Alligator mississippiensis: one gene and its partner. The protein of the gene in region 2 interacts with the protein of the main gene of each other region in a biochemical or structural test. Links are inferred from orthologs where the notes say so. Each region holds a gene or a part of one and is shown on either strand. Other genes may lie near its edges.

Evidence for each region. The genes of interacting proteins can lie anywhere in the genome.
Region 1: the proteins of guanine nucleotide-binding protein G(q) subunit alpha (region 2) and PLCB1 form a complex in vitro, tested with the Homo sapiens proteins (2 studies listed by BioGRID, with this or other methods). The link is inferred for Alligator mississippiensis from reciprocal best matches to the Homo sapiens genes GNAQ and PLCB1.

What each region holds. Positions count from the first base shown.
Region 1 is NC_081824.1:224,900,959-224,908,777, forward strand, and holds the start of PLCB1 (1-phosphatidylinositol 4,5-bisphosphate phosphodiesterase beta-1), read right to left. Parts: upstream 3,013-7,819; 5' UTR 2,848-3,012; coding exon 2,749-2,847; intron 1-2,748.
Region 2 is NC_081826.1:199,600,269-199,608,040, forward strand, and holds the start of guanine nucleotide-binding protein G(q) subunit alpha, read right to left. Parts: upstream 3,010-7,772; 5' UTR 2,993-3,009; coding exon 2,857-2,992; intron 1-2,856.

The DNA.
Region 1 (7,819 bases), on a different chromosome or scaffold from region 2:
TTTGTAACATATTTGTCATCATCATGTCCTATTGTTTCCTTGAAGTATTCTTATTCCCTCAATGGACCACAAAGGCTCGGGCAAGAATCCCAATTTTTACAAGTCCCTTAATACAGATTCACAGGATAATTAACAAAAACTCCAAATTGGGTGTTGATGGGTCAATAGTACATACTTTACAATGTCACTGATCATTTTTACAGATGAAATTTCCCATACTAGAGTGCCAAAATATGTTCACTTCCATCACAATGTTTCATTCCTGTGGCAATTCCACTGCTGGAAGTACGTGTTGTGGGGAAACATGCTAAATATGCTGCTGTTAATTCAAGTATAAGAGTTAAGGCTAACAACTCTTTATTTCACTATGTTATGCCCATGTCTGCTGTCAAACAGCCGATGATTTTACATAATATAGCCCCAATCCTATATAAACACGCCCCTTTTGCTCCCACAAAACCCTACTGAGATTCAGGGGACTGGGCATGGGGATCTACTCTTTTGCATAAGGTCACAGGATAAGAGCCAGATATTACAGGGCATACCTTAATTTAAAATTTACGTCCTTTCCCAGATTTTGGACATATTGTCTTACCAGAACAATAATGCTTAATATTGTGTTTTCTTTCAGTCTATATAATAAGCAAAGTAAACACATTTTACAGGACGAATCCATTTTCATACAGTGCACCTTTTCTTCTCTAATGACCCACAAATACAGCCTAACGCTTTAGTAACAGCTTTCAACCTAAGAATTAAGCAGGGAAGTATCTGCAAGCATAACTCCACCAGCTTTTCATAACAGGAAAGAATTCAGTCCTAACTTTCAAAGCAGCAATATCAGAAGCATATTGCAAAGAGCCACATTCCTGTCACAGTTACATATCTGAGGGGGCAAAAATATTAGACACGGATTATGTATTTTGCCCAATGGCTTGGATTCTTTACCTGGAAAGTACAAGTTGCCATTAACAGGCTCTCAACGTATGTATTGTTTATGTACTTGTTGGCAAAATAGCATGCAAACATAATTACAATACCAAAGCTAAGAATGTCGCGATCTATAGTCTGGCAAATCTAATCAGCAAGAAGAGCCTACATCGGTCAGCTCTATCCAACTATCAATTAACTCATTCATTCTAGACTCAAAGCTACCTCCAGCAAACCTGATGTTATCTCACTGTTCATTACTGTAAATTAGAGGTACAGGCATGAACCTAACTAGATGGGAACTGTTTAGTAAATACGTCCCACGTTGCTTCAAGATTTCTTCCCAAATTTTGGTGTCGCATCTCACTATAAGTGTGTGTCACAGGTTTATAAAGGTCGGGATCGCACATTTGGTTCCTTGACATGTTGAGAGAAATGATAACTTTGTACTAGGCAACTGAACTGGAAGGGCTGTCACACACATGGACAGCACTCTCTCTCAGCTAGCCCTCTAGCTGTTACTGTGCTTGTCTCCAGGAGTGTAAACTTTACAGCAACACTGTTTGACAGCTACACTAGTGGAAAAGTAGCTCTTAGAAACAAGTTCTCTTTACCGGTTCTCCTATTCCAGCTGCGTAGTGTGCCAAGCTGCCCAATACCTATACTTCTCCACCCCAGCAATTCCTCCAAATACACTTCACTGCCCACCCCTGCCCTTTTAGAGGTATCTGTGTGTGGAAAGACAGACTCCTGATGCTTTACTTGAGGAGCAATTTCTATGGGAACAGGTTAACAGGAAAGCTGTCCCTCTGCTTTGCTTCTCCATTGCTCCCTTAACTGTGGTAGCCCAAAAGAAGATGACAGAAGAATGCTGCCTTCTTCTGAAAAGGTCCCCGGCACAGTCTGTGAGGGATGAAAGAAGTCCCAGCTACTGGGACCACCATCAAGCTACTACACATCTCCATAATGAAGCAGCACTGAACTGAAAAGAAGCAGAAGCAGCAGGTGTTTCAGGGAGGAAAGGAGGCTGCCTGTGTGAATGACCATACTGAAGACAGGAACATACAGGTGTAGCAGCAACAAGTGCACGCAAGAGATTTGGAGAAGTCAGAGATGAAAACACCCTGCGAGATAGATGGTTTTGGTCAGGAAGCATACGATTTCTTGGCAAGGGGGCCACGAAGTGGTAGCCCATTTGCAAAGGCAGGGAGCTGCACTGAGCGAGTGCTGGGTTTAGGTAGGAGACGGTGTTTGTGGGCTGTGTGGCAGGTGGAGAGAAGACAGAAGAAAAGCTGAGCAGGCAGGACGGCGGGAGAGAACAGGGGATGGGGAAGGGAAGAGGAAAGGACTGGAAGGGCGGGTGGAGTGAAAGGTAAGAGAGAAGAGGTGGGATGAAACCAAGCAGTTAGAGCAGGGGCGAGATCCCAGCCAGACCAGGGGAACGGGAACAGGCAAGACAAAGGGAGTTCAGAAAAGTTTTCAGGCTGCAGAGAAAGTTGCTGTGTCCGGAGCCTGAACAACCAGGGCCGGTCACGCAGGGCAAGGAGACACCTTGCCTCACCCTGCTCCCCCACCAAAGCCACCCTCCCCGCTCCCTCTCCCACCCCCAGGGGCACTTAGAGGAGGAAGGGCTCCCCCACCCTGGCAGCACGCCCAAGCCCCGGCCCCCTCCCGGCGGGCACACCCCGCCAGCACCTGGCAACATGTGGCGGGCCGCCAGCTCCCAACATGTGTCCGCAGCAGCCCCGCGGCTGCGCCCTCCCCTTCCCCACGTCCCCGGGGGGAGCCCAGGGCCCGAGGCGGGGGGTGGTGACTCACATCGTCCCACTTGACGAATTTGGTGCCCTTCTTGAGGCCGTCGGAGACGCGCACGGGCTGCAGCTGCAGCGCATGGACCCCGGGCTGCGCCCCAGCCATCTGCGGCACATGGAGCCGCGCTCCCCGGCGGCGAGAGCCGATGGCGCGGGGCGAGGCGGAGCCGCCGCCGCCGCCGCCGCTGCAGGGATGCGGTGCCAGCAGCAGCAGTAGCTCACAGGGCTGCAGCGCGGCGAGCCATGCAGCGCCGCATCCGCCTATATACACATCCGCACGCGGGCGAGCCGCGCGCCCCGCCGCTGCCGCCGCCTCCTCCCAGCCCGCCCCGGCCCCCAACTTTCCCAGCGCCGGGTCACGGCGGGGCAGCGCCACCTGCCGGCCATGACGGGCAGCCGCGGCCGGGGGGGGTCGCGTCGGGACTGGCTCACAGGAAAGCACTGGAGCGGGTTCCCCGGAGCGGCTGCGGGCTCTCCATCCTGCGAGGGCTTAGGTAGGAGGAACGTTTTTCCCCCTGGGAGGTTAGGAAAGCACTGCAGCAGGTTACCCACAGAGGCGGTGGGCTCTGCATCCTCCGAGGGGTTAGCTATTAGGGCATCTTTCTCCCTAGGAGGGTAGGAAAGCACCGGAGTGGGTTACCCAGAGAAGCGGTGGGCTCTCCCTCCTTGGAGGGGTTAGATATTAGGATATCTTTTCTCCCTGGGAAGGTAGGAAAGCAGTGGAGCGGGTTACCCAGAGAGACCGTGGACTCTCCATCCTGGCCGGGGTTAGGTATTGGGATATTTTTTCTCCCTAGGAGGGTAGGAAAGCAGTGGAGCGGGTTACCCAGAGAGGTGGTGGGCTCTCCCTCCTTGGATGGGTTAGCTATTTGGATACTTTTTCTCCCTGGGGGGGCCGGAAGCACTGAAGCCGGTTACCCAGGGAGGCTGTGGGCTCTCCATCCTTGGAGGGGTTAGGTATTAGGAAGATCCTTCTCACTGAGAGGATGGTAAAACACTGGAGTCGGTTACCGAGGGAGGTGGTGGACTCGCCATCCTTGGAGGGGTTAGATATTAGAATATTTTTTCTCCCTAGGAGGGTAGGAAAGCAGTGGAGCAGGTTGACCAGACACACCATCCTTGGTGGGGTATATTAGTAGGGATCCTGGTTTTCGCCAATTAAAAAAATCCCCAACTTCAGTTAAAAAAAAATAACCATGAATCCACATTTTCCCATGATTTAAATGAAACACCGTTAATATATAGATATCAGCCACCTAATATCTGTTGGGCTGGCCATCTTTCAAGAATGCCCGACATTCACCTGCTAAAGAAAATTTTCTGCGACAGTCAAATGGAGTACACATTAGTGGCGCACCAAAGAAGTGGTACAAGGCCTGTGAGAGGGAACAACTCTCAGGGCCAGGTCTCATGCCAGCCCGCCCATCTGTCTCTATGGGGCAGTCCACCCAGTTTCGCCTGCCACGACTTTGTTGTTTCCATAAACTGGTGGTAAAAGTGGGAGACTGCCCATTACATGCCCTGATGCCAGGGGGTGCTATCTGCGGCTCCAAACCTTTCCTACACTACAGCACATGCCTCGCAGATGGCATCCACATGATGTAATCATAACCTACACCATGACTAGTGCTCCAGGGTCTCACAGGGACTCTCACTCCCTCCCTGGAGCTGCAGGTCATTGTGCTTGCCCTTAAGGCAGGCCTACTCCCCCTCTATGCGACTTTGGTCAGGCCGCAGTTGGAGTACTGTGTCCAGTACTGGGCACCACACTTCAAAAGGGACGTGGCCAGCCTGGAGAGGGTTCAGAGGAGGGCCACCCGCTTGGTGAGAGGGCAGCAGGACAGGCCCTATGAGGAGAGACTGAAGGACCTGAACCTGTTCAGCCTCAGCAAGAGGAGGCTGAGGGGGGACCTGGTGGCTGCCTACAAGCTCATCAAGGGAGATCAACAGCAAATAGGCAGAGCTCTTTTCTTCCCAGCACCACCTGGGGTGACGAGGAACAATGGTCATAAGCTGATGGAGAATAGGTTTAGGTTGGAGATCAGAAGGCAGTATTTTACAGTTAGGGTGGCCAAAATCTGGAACCAACTTCCCAGGGAAGTGGTCCTCAGCCCTACCTTAGGCAAATTCAAGAGGAGGTTGGATGATCACCTGTCTGGGGTCTTGTGAACCCAGCATTCATTCCTGCCTGTGGCAGGGGGTCAGGTTAGATGATCTGTTCAGGTCCCTCCTGACCCTAGCTACTATGAAACTAAGGTCTTTCTTTCAACCCACCCTCGGCCTCCTTGCAGCGGAGGACTTACCGGGGTCAGGACTCACCCCTAACTCTCTGGCTCAGCCCCCTACTCGGCAATTCGGTCCAAACTACAGCCTCAGACATCCACGACCATGCCTTGGCCTCTTCCCTATATGTGGGGTTCCTACTACACCCTGTCTAGGGCCTCTACACCACGCCCCACCCTGGGGCTTCTCATCTTCATGATCAACTATTCATGGGGCTGGCCCTTGTGCTGCCCTTCAAATTTACTCCCAGTTTGGCCCAACTCAGAACACCCCTGGGACTGCCCTTCAGACCTACTCTCTTTCAGCTCTCTTCTGGGTGGGGCCACACAACTACTTTCCCCACACTTACCCCCTCTGGGGTCTCCAGGATCTCACATCCCTGCTGGGCTCAGGTGGCACTCTGCTTGCAGTGCCTGGCCCCCCTACTCCCACAGCTGCTTCCAAAGCCCACCCACAGATGGGGGCTGAGGTTAAGGTGACCCTCCTTGCCTTTCACTGGGGAGGTAACTAGCCTGGCATTTCCTGGGGGCTTCCACGCCACTAAGAGCCCCACCAGGCCACCCTTCCCTAGCAGAGTTCAGTTTTAGGTGATGCCCAGGACCACAAGCCTCTTGCTCTTACCTTCCAGATGTTCCTGCTAAAGCTCATCAAGGTGATTTTCTGCCTGGGCTGGCAGCAGCAATCTGCAGCCTTAGTATCCCTTGTTCTCAAAATGGCTGCCATCATCAGGCACCTGGTAGCTGCCTGATTCTGCCTTTAGAGTGGCAGGCACCCAAAGGTGCCCTGTCACATGTCCCTAAAGAGTTTCAGCATTGCCCCGCAGTCATGGGAGCAAATTGCTCGTGACTGTCCATCTTGGAGGTCATTGGTCCAGAGTGGAGCACTGGCCTTCAAGCAGCGGTACATGGCAGAGGCAGTGAGGAATCGTGTGGCCAGGAAAACAAGGACCTCTCAGTCCTCGTCGCTCTCCTGTATCTGCTGCAGCAGATTGTTCAGGGCAAAGATTGGGCTTATAAATCGCCTGCTTACCCATCTGACCTAGCCTCCACCCCCCTCCTCTCTCTTCTTTCTCCCTTTCTCTTTTCTCCCTCCCTTTTTCTTTCCGGCTTCCTTTCTCTCTTCTCCTCCCCGCCCCTCCCCCCAGCCGCCAGATGCAGTCATCTTCACTTGTGAAGGATCAACAACTATATATATAGTGATGTTTCAATTTAATCATGGAAAAATGTGGATTTGGGGTGGGCAGTTTTAACCGAAAATAGGGGATTTTTTTTTTAAATCAGAGAAAATCAGGATCCCTGGATATTAGGAAATCTTTCTCCCTAGGAGGGTAGGAAAGTATTGGAGCAGGTTACCCAGAGAGACTGTGGACTCTCCATCATGGGAGGGGTTAGATATTAGGAAATCTTTCTCCTTAGGAGGGTAGTAGGGTTGCCAGCCCTTCAGGATTGCCCTGGAATCTCCAGGAATTAGATATAAATCTCCAGGAGACTGCAGAGAGTCCCCCAGAAGATAAACGATAGGGCATTCATGAAAATAAATATTAAATGTTGAATCTGATTAAGTAGTCCAGTGGGTTTTTAAAGGTAATAGTCATGTGCATTTGCCTTCCTGATGTAAAGTCTTCACATTCTACTCTCTAACTGATATATGTAAGCATGCAGGCACATTTGTGTTGTGTCGTGGGCATGGTGGCATTGCAGAAACCTCCCAAAATAGATTCAAATGGAGTTGGCAACCCTAGAGGGTAGTAAAACACTAGATCAGGTTACCCAGAGAGGTGGTGGACTTTGGAGGGGTTAGATATTAAGATAAAACTTTTATTAGACCCCTTTGGAGGGGTTAGATATTAAGATAAAACTTTTATTAGACCTACTCAAATAGTTGGAAAAATTCTTCTTTGCAAGCTTGCGGGTATAAATATCCTTCATCAGGCTGAGGAAGCATCTGCAGTTGGTCTATGCTCTTCCTGGATGGAACGAATAGTAAAGAAGCCAGAGTCACTGTTGAGTTTGACTTCTTTCTTTTTCATGTTGTGTAGTTTCCATTTCAAAATGGCATAATTCGATATCTTCCATGTTACAGGGGTATAGGCTGTAGTCATGTTGGTCTAAGGACATAGGCAGACAAGATTCTTTGAGTAAATCTAAGAAAACTCAGCAGCAACGCTATACCCTTACATATTAGGAAGAACTTTCTCATTGGGAGGGTAGTAAAACACTGGAATAGGTTACCCAGAAAGACTGTGGCATGTCCAACCCTGGAGGTTTTAAAGACCCAGATAGGCAAAGCTTGGGTGGGGTGATCTAGTTGGGGCTAGTCCTGCTTTGAGCAGGGGCTTGGACTAGATTTAGTGATTCTCAACCCGTGGGTCATGACCCAAATGGACATCACAAGAATATATGAAAGGGTGGTGAACAAACTTTAAAAATGGATTCTCCTTTAAAGGAGACAAACATGGCAAAACATGGCTTTTCCCTTGCAGGCTGGCAGAATTCCAGCCTGCAAGGGGCTGCCCCCCTCCCCCACCTCACATATCCACCCCCTGCTCCACATGCTGGGGGACTGGGGACAGGGGGTAATGGGTCAGGAGTGGGGGGCACTGTGTGGGGACTGGCCATCTATGTTTTCAAATGGGTCCGGGTACAAAAAAAAGTTAAGAACCGCTGGACTCCTGAGGTCCCTTCCAACCCTCATTTTATATGATTCTACAATGTGGGGGGGGGGGGGGATGTGAAGGCCTTGTAGCATGGTAGAAATAAGGAGTGGGAGAGTCATACATACCGCCCCCTCTCACA
Region 2 (7,772 bases):
GACTGCCTGTATGGAGCACTTTTTCAGGATTAAGAGCTCTAGGTGTTAAATCCAACAATTCATATACCATTTTCAGGTATGAAGCCCAACAATACACATACCCCACCTCACCACCCCCATTTTCAGTCATGTGTATGACTTAAAGATGCAAGTTTCCTTTTAATAAAATTTTATTTAAAAACAATTAAGGCATCTATGCATCAGGGACTTCTCTACTGATCTTGCTACACTGGCACGGACACCCAATATAGATGCATCACTCTTTATAAAAAAGAGTTGCACTACTGCAATTTTCTCAGTTTGCCCTAATGAAGCATACTAAAACAGAAGGTCTACGCTAGCATTGAAACAACAGTGCAAGAATCCCTAATACGGATAAACTCTGTATTTTCTTCCAATCTATAAAAATAACAGCCCCTTATTGGTTCTAGTTTTAAATCTGACCCCTTTAATTTGGCTTAAGCAGTGTCAAAATTTGGCCCAGATCATGCTATCAGTCACATGCACTTAATTTTACCAGCAGGCAAATCTTACAAATCACTGAGACTACTTGTATATTAAGTTAAATTCATCCATCATAGACTGTAGAATGGAGCTTAAATCTTTTAAACTATATATTTTGTACTTTTCAATTGTCCTTACTTTTGAGAGAACACAGTTATATCCTTCCACAAATTTTTTACTTCTCCAAAACCTTGGGAGAAACCCGCAAGCATTATTGAAGGAAAACCTAGGAAATGCAGAAACAACTGAGAACTACTGTACCACCAGTCAAATTCTTCTTGAATAAAATGTATAAAACATTTTAGTAAATATCCATTAAAGCACATGCAGGTTATGTTATTCTCTACTTCAAACCTGAAAATGCAAAATTAAACCAAAACCAAAGGGGGAGGCAAGGATTTCTTAGGGTGATATCTTTTATTGGACCAACTATATACATTATTGACTCACATTATTGTCTGGACCATTACGCATACAATGCCACTCTTACACTACCAAAACCAAAGTAATTGTAATGTTAATGTCAACCTCTGTCTCCTCCTGCTATTTCTCCACACCCATTAAAACCCCAATACCTTAATCTAAATCTAAGACCAATATGATTTAATAATATCATCTTATTAAAATAACACCAGGGGAAAGAATGGATTCATAAACAGTCATTTCAATTAATTTGCACTTTGACTCACCTTTAGCTCATTTGAAAGACAATTTACTCCCCAGCATCAACTACCACCTTTACGCATAGTACAAGACAGAATGTTTTGAATAAAATGGATAGTCCCCGTCTTGTGAATGTGAGAGGTGATTTCACAATACACCCCCTGCTCTCCCCAACACACATTCAGACACACAAACACCAGACAGTGGTGCAGACATTTTTCAGGGCCTGTTAGTCCAAGGCACAAAGCTCCCTTACCACAGTGGCTATGCGTTATTACAATAGTCTGGACATGGAGCCTTTTCTTTTCACTCAAGAGGCTTATTTGAGCACATAAGCCACATTTCTAAGAAAGAATTACTTGAAATGGCATTAGCTTCTGCCGAGATTAAAAAGAAAGGCCGCTGTATGCTGTAAATGACATTTCCTAACCGATGGGTGGATTCCAAAGGTATTAAAGAACCTGTCAGTCTCAGACATGCTTGTAGGCTACAAGTCAGTTTCAGGGTGCAGCTCAGGTTTTGCGTGTATGTATGTGTACACACACACTGTATATATATGTGTGTGTGTATAAATATGTGTATAAAGAGATACAGATATAGACCATAAACTAAGCCTATCCCATGTATCTCCGTTTACCTCGTTAAATAAAAATCATAGCTCCAACATGCAGCCAGGCAGCCCCCTTCGCCAGGGCTCCCAGAACAGTACAGACATTAACGCCTGTCACCATCAATCTGCAAAGCAGCTTCCCCCCTCCAGCCCTTTCACTTAGCTGCCGCCTTGCCATTGCTTCTTCATGCCTGTGGCAAACAAGCATCAGTCTCTTCCCTTATCCCTTTCCACCCCCTCAGCCCCTCTCTCCATTTTGGAAGGCCACAGCTAGCCTCCCCACCAACTGAAACCAGAGGTGATTATTGCCTCAGCCACATCTGTAGTCGCAGTGCTGAGGGAGACAATGCAACACCCACCCTTCACCCCCTGCACACATACCACCCTGTGTCTCTTCCCCACCCCCACCCCCACCCGCCTAGTTGCCCTGATCAGCATCACAACGCTGGTGGCAAGTGCCCATTAGAAGAAGGCAGGGAGCGTGGAACTGGAATGGTCTCCTCCATCCACCCACAGGGCTGTGAGGGAGCTGATTCCCCTCTAGTTTCCTCTCCAGCCCTGCAGCCAGACACAGCTGGAGCCAACCATGCATGCAAGAGCAGTGGCAGATGGGTGTGCATGCATGTACACAGCCGCCTGTGTGTGTGTGGGGGGGTATGCATGTGCATGCAAGATCTGGCAGATGGGTGCACATGCGTGTACACAGCTGCCCATGGGTGTGTGTATGCATGTGTGTAATACTGGCAGATGGGTGCGTGTACACAGCTGCCCGTGTATATCTGCATTGGCATATGTGTGTACATGTCTGCCTGTGTGTATGCATGTCATTCTGGCAGATGGGTGCACATGCATGTTTCTGCACAAGTGTGTCCACCTCCGTGCTGTGTTCCTGCACATGCATGTGCACTGCTGCGTGTGTGTGTGTAACTGGCAGACGAGTGCACAACTGCTCACGCGTATGGGCGTGTATGTGCACACGCATGTCCACAGCTGCGTGTGCAAGCGCGCGTGGCGGGGAGCGGCCGGGGCCGGGGCCGTGGCCGAGGCCGGGCGGGCTCCCCGGGGCGCCCCACACTCACCCAGCAGCAGCAGCTTGAGCTCCCGGCGCGCGTCGCGCTTGTCCCGCCGCAGCTGCCGCTCGATCTCGTCGTTGATCCGCCGGGCTTCCTTGGCTTCCTCGCTCAGGCAGCACGCCATGATGGACTCCAGAGTCATTCTTCCCGGCTGGGCTCCGGCGCAGCGCCCACCCCCGCCGCCCCCCGGAGCTCCCGGCCGCGCCGCGCAGCGCAGCGCCGCGCCGCGGGGGACACGCCCGGCCCGGCCCGCACCGCCCTGCACCGCACCGCCCGGCTGCAGGCGCAGGCACCGGCCCCTACCCCCACGCCTCTGCCGGAGCCAACTCCTCCTCCGCTCCCTGCCAGGCACCGAGGAAAGAGCCACCGGGCGGCTCCTCGCCGGCCCGCGCAACCCCCACCCCCGGCGCCGCTTGCCTCCTACTCCGCCTCCTCCTCCCCCGTCTCCCGCCCCAGCCCCCGGCTAATAGCCGCGGCTGCCGGCCCCGCTCTGCCCCGCGGCGGTGGAGAGCGCCAGGGCGGGCTGGGCTGGGCCGGGGGATCTTCTTGCCAATGGGCTTTACTTCCCGCGGCGGACGGAGCTGTCGCCCCTTGTCCCTGCCTCTCCCTTACTACAAGCGGAGGGGGAAGGCAGAGGCACAATATGTATCCAGCAGCCCGACTTGTCAATGGCTCGCCTCTCCGGGCGTGGTAAAGGCAGAAATATGGCGGCCCGTCTCCCTCGCTCTCTCCCCAGCCCACCTCACGGCTCCCTCCGCAAATGCAAACCTTGGGAACATCACCCCCCATCCCCCTGCCCGGGATGTGCACCCCCCCAAGAGCAAGGACACAGCGAGGAGCAAGTGTATTTTTCTCCCCCACCCCAAATGGCCGCAAGGAACATTGTCTTCCACATTTATCCTGTAGGGCAGGATTTTTTATTTTATTTTTTTAATCCCTCATGTTTTGGGGTTGGGGGTGTTTTTTCTTTGTTTTTCTTTTTCTCCCCCCCCCCCCCCCCACATCTGCTTTTGTCTGCCTCTGTGCAGCTTGTAACATGGCACTTTGTTATAGCCCTCCCTTCTCTTCTTGGACGAGATCGTTTGGTAGCATTGCAACAATTCACTGGAGGGGAAAAGGGAAGGCCAAAAAACACAACAAAAACAAACCAATCCTCTCTATGTCTTCAGATGGAAATTAAAAACATTGGGGATAAAAGTTTCCCGGGCACCAGTTGTCACTTGCCGTGCCAGTGAGATCTTCGGGGCTTAATATACACAAGAAGACAAGCAAAGACCTTTCACATCCGTCAGAGCAAAAAAGAAAAGCAGCAAGATACTACTCTTACTGATATGCTACCATTTACACAAATTGATATATGTTTTATCCCTGCAGTAGGGGGATAAAAGCTACCAGGTGTGTGATTTACTTCCCCAGGTCAACACTTCATGCGTTTATACTGTGTAGGATTACATTGCCACTCCAGAGCAATGCCATATGACTGAACATGTGTGAAAAAGATGTGGGGCATAGGTTTCATTAGTCTTTAAAAGTTTTCCACATTCTTCCCTTTCCCACCGCCATTTTAAATTAACCATGGCTGAGAAAATTTGAAGGGACACTAGTTTATAAAGGGGCTAGGCAGTTAAATGTATGCATAGCTCTCCCACCACCAATCTGATGCACATGATGCTCTTTCCAGCACCTGTTGACATAACTATTGAAAATGATGTTGTGCTTTAACAGATCACTGCTGCTACTGAAAGTATGGATTAAATGGTGCTTGCCACAAGTCATTAGACTAGCTGTGACCTTGCAGGTTAAAATGTATTGATCAATACAGCACCTTTTAGAGTGCGAAAATAATTCTTCTTACTTCATAATTTAAAAAATGTATTAATTTGCTCCAAAATGTATGTCATACTATTTAAAACCAGTTACTGCATCTTACTGGTTGTTTTTATAAGCATGCTTCTTTCTTTCTGAAATCAAGCATCATTAAACTCAAAAAGTGTAATTTTTTTTTTTTAGGTTAAATTCTATAATGCTATTTTTTCATTCAAATTTTTTGTAAAAGGCTCTATTTCTTTAAACTGACATGGATGTTGAGATTAAAAAAAAGATCTGTGTGTGTGATTTATGACCCTGATGTATGTATGTGTTAATAATTACTTTAGCAATAACATATAGCTTATAGACATTAGTTTGCAGTAAACATGGTATTTATATGACATTCATGTATGTCATTCTTATGTATGTCATTCATGACATTATACTTACACATACACATTTATAAAATTGGTAATCAGTAATCAAGTGAACGGTGATAACACAATCTTTTTCTTTCCAGAACAACTTCCTCAAAGGCTAAAAACTGCACTCTTGGTATAAAAGGCACAGAAGGCAATAGCACAGTGCAGCCAAGAAACATAAGCATGAATCCCAGGCCACTGAAAAAATTTGTGGCAGCTTTGGAAGACGAGTAGGTGCATGGTAACATGATGGGTGGATCTGCAACGTCACAAGTCAACTGATCGAAAGTCCTCTGCACAGTGAGGGCACAGCTACCACATGCAACTTCAGCCCTCAAAGACCCTGCAATGAAGTAATCTTCCCGCAGTGGAGGAAGTCTGACTCAGCACTCTGTAGACTTTGATAATCCCATTTTATATGTTCACTACAGGGGACTGTAAGAGTCTCTCCAGACTCTGAATACTACTTATATACCAAGAATGTGAAAATAACTTTTAATTTTGTGTTTTCAAAGTTTAGTGGCCCTGTACTGTACTTTATCTGCTTGCACCCCTCTCATTGATACCTGTGGATTATTAACATGTAATTTGAGGGCAGTATAAGGTTTTAAGAGTTTAGTCTTACCCTCCAGTATGTATCTTGGGTAAGAACTCATATACGGGTAGGTATGTGGTAACATGATGGGTGGATCTACAACATCACAGGTCAACTGATCAAAAGTCCTTGTTTATAAGAATATAAATATTCTTATAAATAGGTAGGAATATAAATATTTTCACACCACCTCAGAAAAAAGGTCCATGTATTTTTTCTCTTCCAGTAGCCATTAACCGATGGTTTAGCTGAATAATAATGGTCAGTTATGCAATAATACATCTATGGGAGAAGTTGCTTCTTAACTCTAATCAGGATAATGGTTGACTTTTGTCCAGTGGCTTTATATCTCTTATAGATTTCTTTATACTAGCCAATGTATCTGTGAACAATATACTTATTGCCCATCTGTGGATATGGAACAATTGAACTATTCCAAAATGTTGCAGATGGGAAACTGCTTACAATTGTTGTGAGGCATGGTGTGGACACACATAACAATTAAACCATTCCAAAGGGGGCTGGTTCACAATTTTGTCAAGTGCTGTGGTTCTGACGCCAGGGGCTGGGAGTGAGTGCCCAGGCCAGCATTCCTTGTGATGGACAGGTAAGGAGAAGCAGGTGCTTGCACCCGTGCTTTGGGGTTCCCAAAACATCCAGGAGTGGGTGGAGGCGTTTCCGTTTTCCTGCTTTTTCTTTTCCAAGGGTGGAGAGGGGTGTACACGCAGCCAGGATCACAGCTCAGGGTGTGGATCACTGCCCAGCACAGCAGGCAAATATCAGTCTGCTCTGTGAAGGGGAAGGGGCATGGGGATGGCAGATTGAGGCCCCCCCCCCCCCGGTGAGGCAGGGAGTGAGGAAGGGACAGGGGCAGGGGCTGGGGTGAATGGGGTCCCAGCCAAAGCAGGTCGTGGGAGGGTTGGAGCCCAGGCAGCCAGGTGGAGGGGGGCTGCTGCTGCCCACTGGGCTCTGTACCCTGCTGCTGCTGACACTGCTTTTGGGGCCCCGCAATGCCATGTGCATCCCACAGCTGGGCTGCACTGCACCCCCTGCCCGCCTGTAGATTTCTACACCTCTCTGCCTATCTGCCATCTGACACCACCAGGAAAGGAATCCTGCCTGATCTGCACAACAAAGAGCAACTCACAAAGACACTCTCATGGATCCAGAGGAACAGACTTACATCTTCAGCTTCCTCTGTACAAAAATGAAGTTTATTTCCTACCTATGGGGACTTTTTACCATCTTTAATTTTTCCTGAGCTTGAGGAAGGGCATGTGAGCCCAAAAGCTTGCAGAAAAAGATCGGGTTTTTTGCAATTTCTTTTTTGGTCTAATAAAAAGCATAATCTCTGAACCATTTTATAGTTTTGCATTAATTTTATAGGTATACTTTTGAACTGTTTGGCTAAGTACAAATAGCCAAAAAGCCTGAAGCTGAACCCATTCAATCTTCTTAGGTTAGTCTAACCTGTGTAGACTGAATGGATAAGCAAGTAAACAGACATTCACTTTTGATTTTGGAAATGCAGCCACACGCCTACAGTGGCTGAGGCCAAAAGCTTGAAGGGGAGGTGGGTGCTAGAGCATGCCTCCCAGGACTTGTGGGGGAGGTGCAAAGCATCCTGCAATGCTAGGGTACTGCAAGTTAACTTGAATCGGGAGGAGATCTGGGACAGAAATTCAATAAACCAATTTAACCTAAATCAGTGAAGTCTGATACTACATCCATCTAGGTTTATCTTAAACTGGTTTCAGTCATTTTGAAAGTGGTTTGTGTGCACTGAATTTGTGTCATGTTACACAACTTGAACTGGTTACAGACTTGAACAACATGTTACAGACTTGAACTGGTTTATGATCACTTATACTGGTTCATGTGTAATTTCTGTCTTGAGGCAAAGCTTTAAATCAGTTTAACAGGCTTGCATGTTTGTCTGCTTCAGGTTTAAACTTCATTTAAACCAGCTTAAGTGTTATGTGTATCCATACCACAGATATCTAATCCTGTTTTGAATCTTACCAGACTCTTTGCCTCAATATCTGAGTCCCATACTTTAAGTACATGGTGTGTTGTTTGTGATTTGTTTTATTATT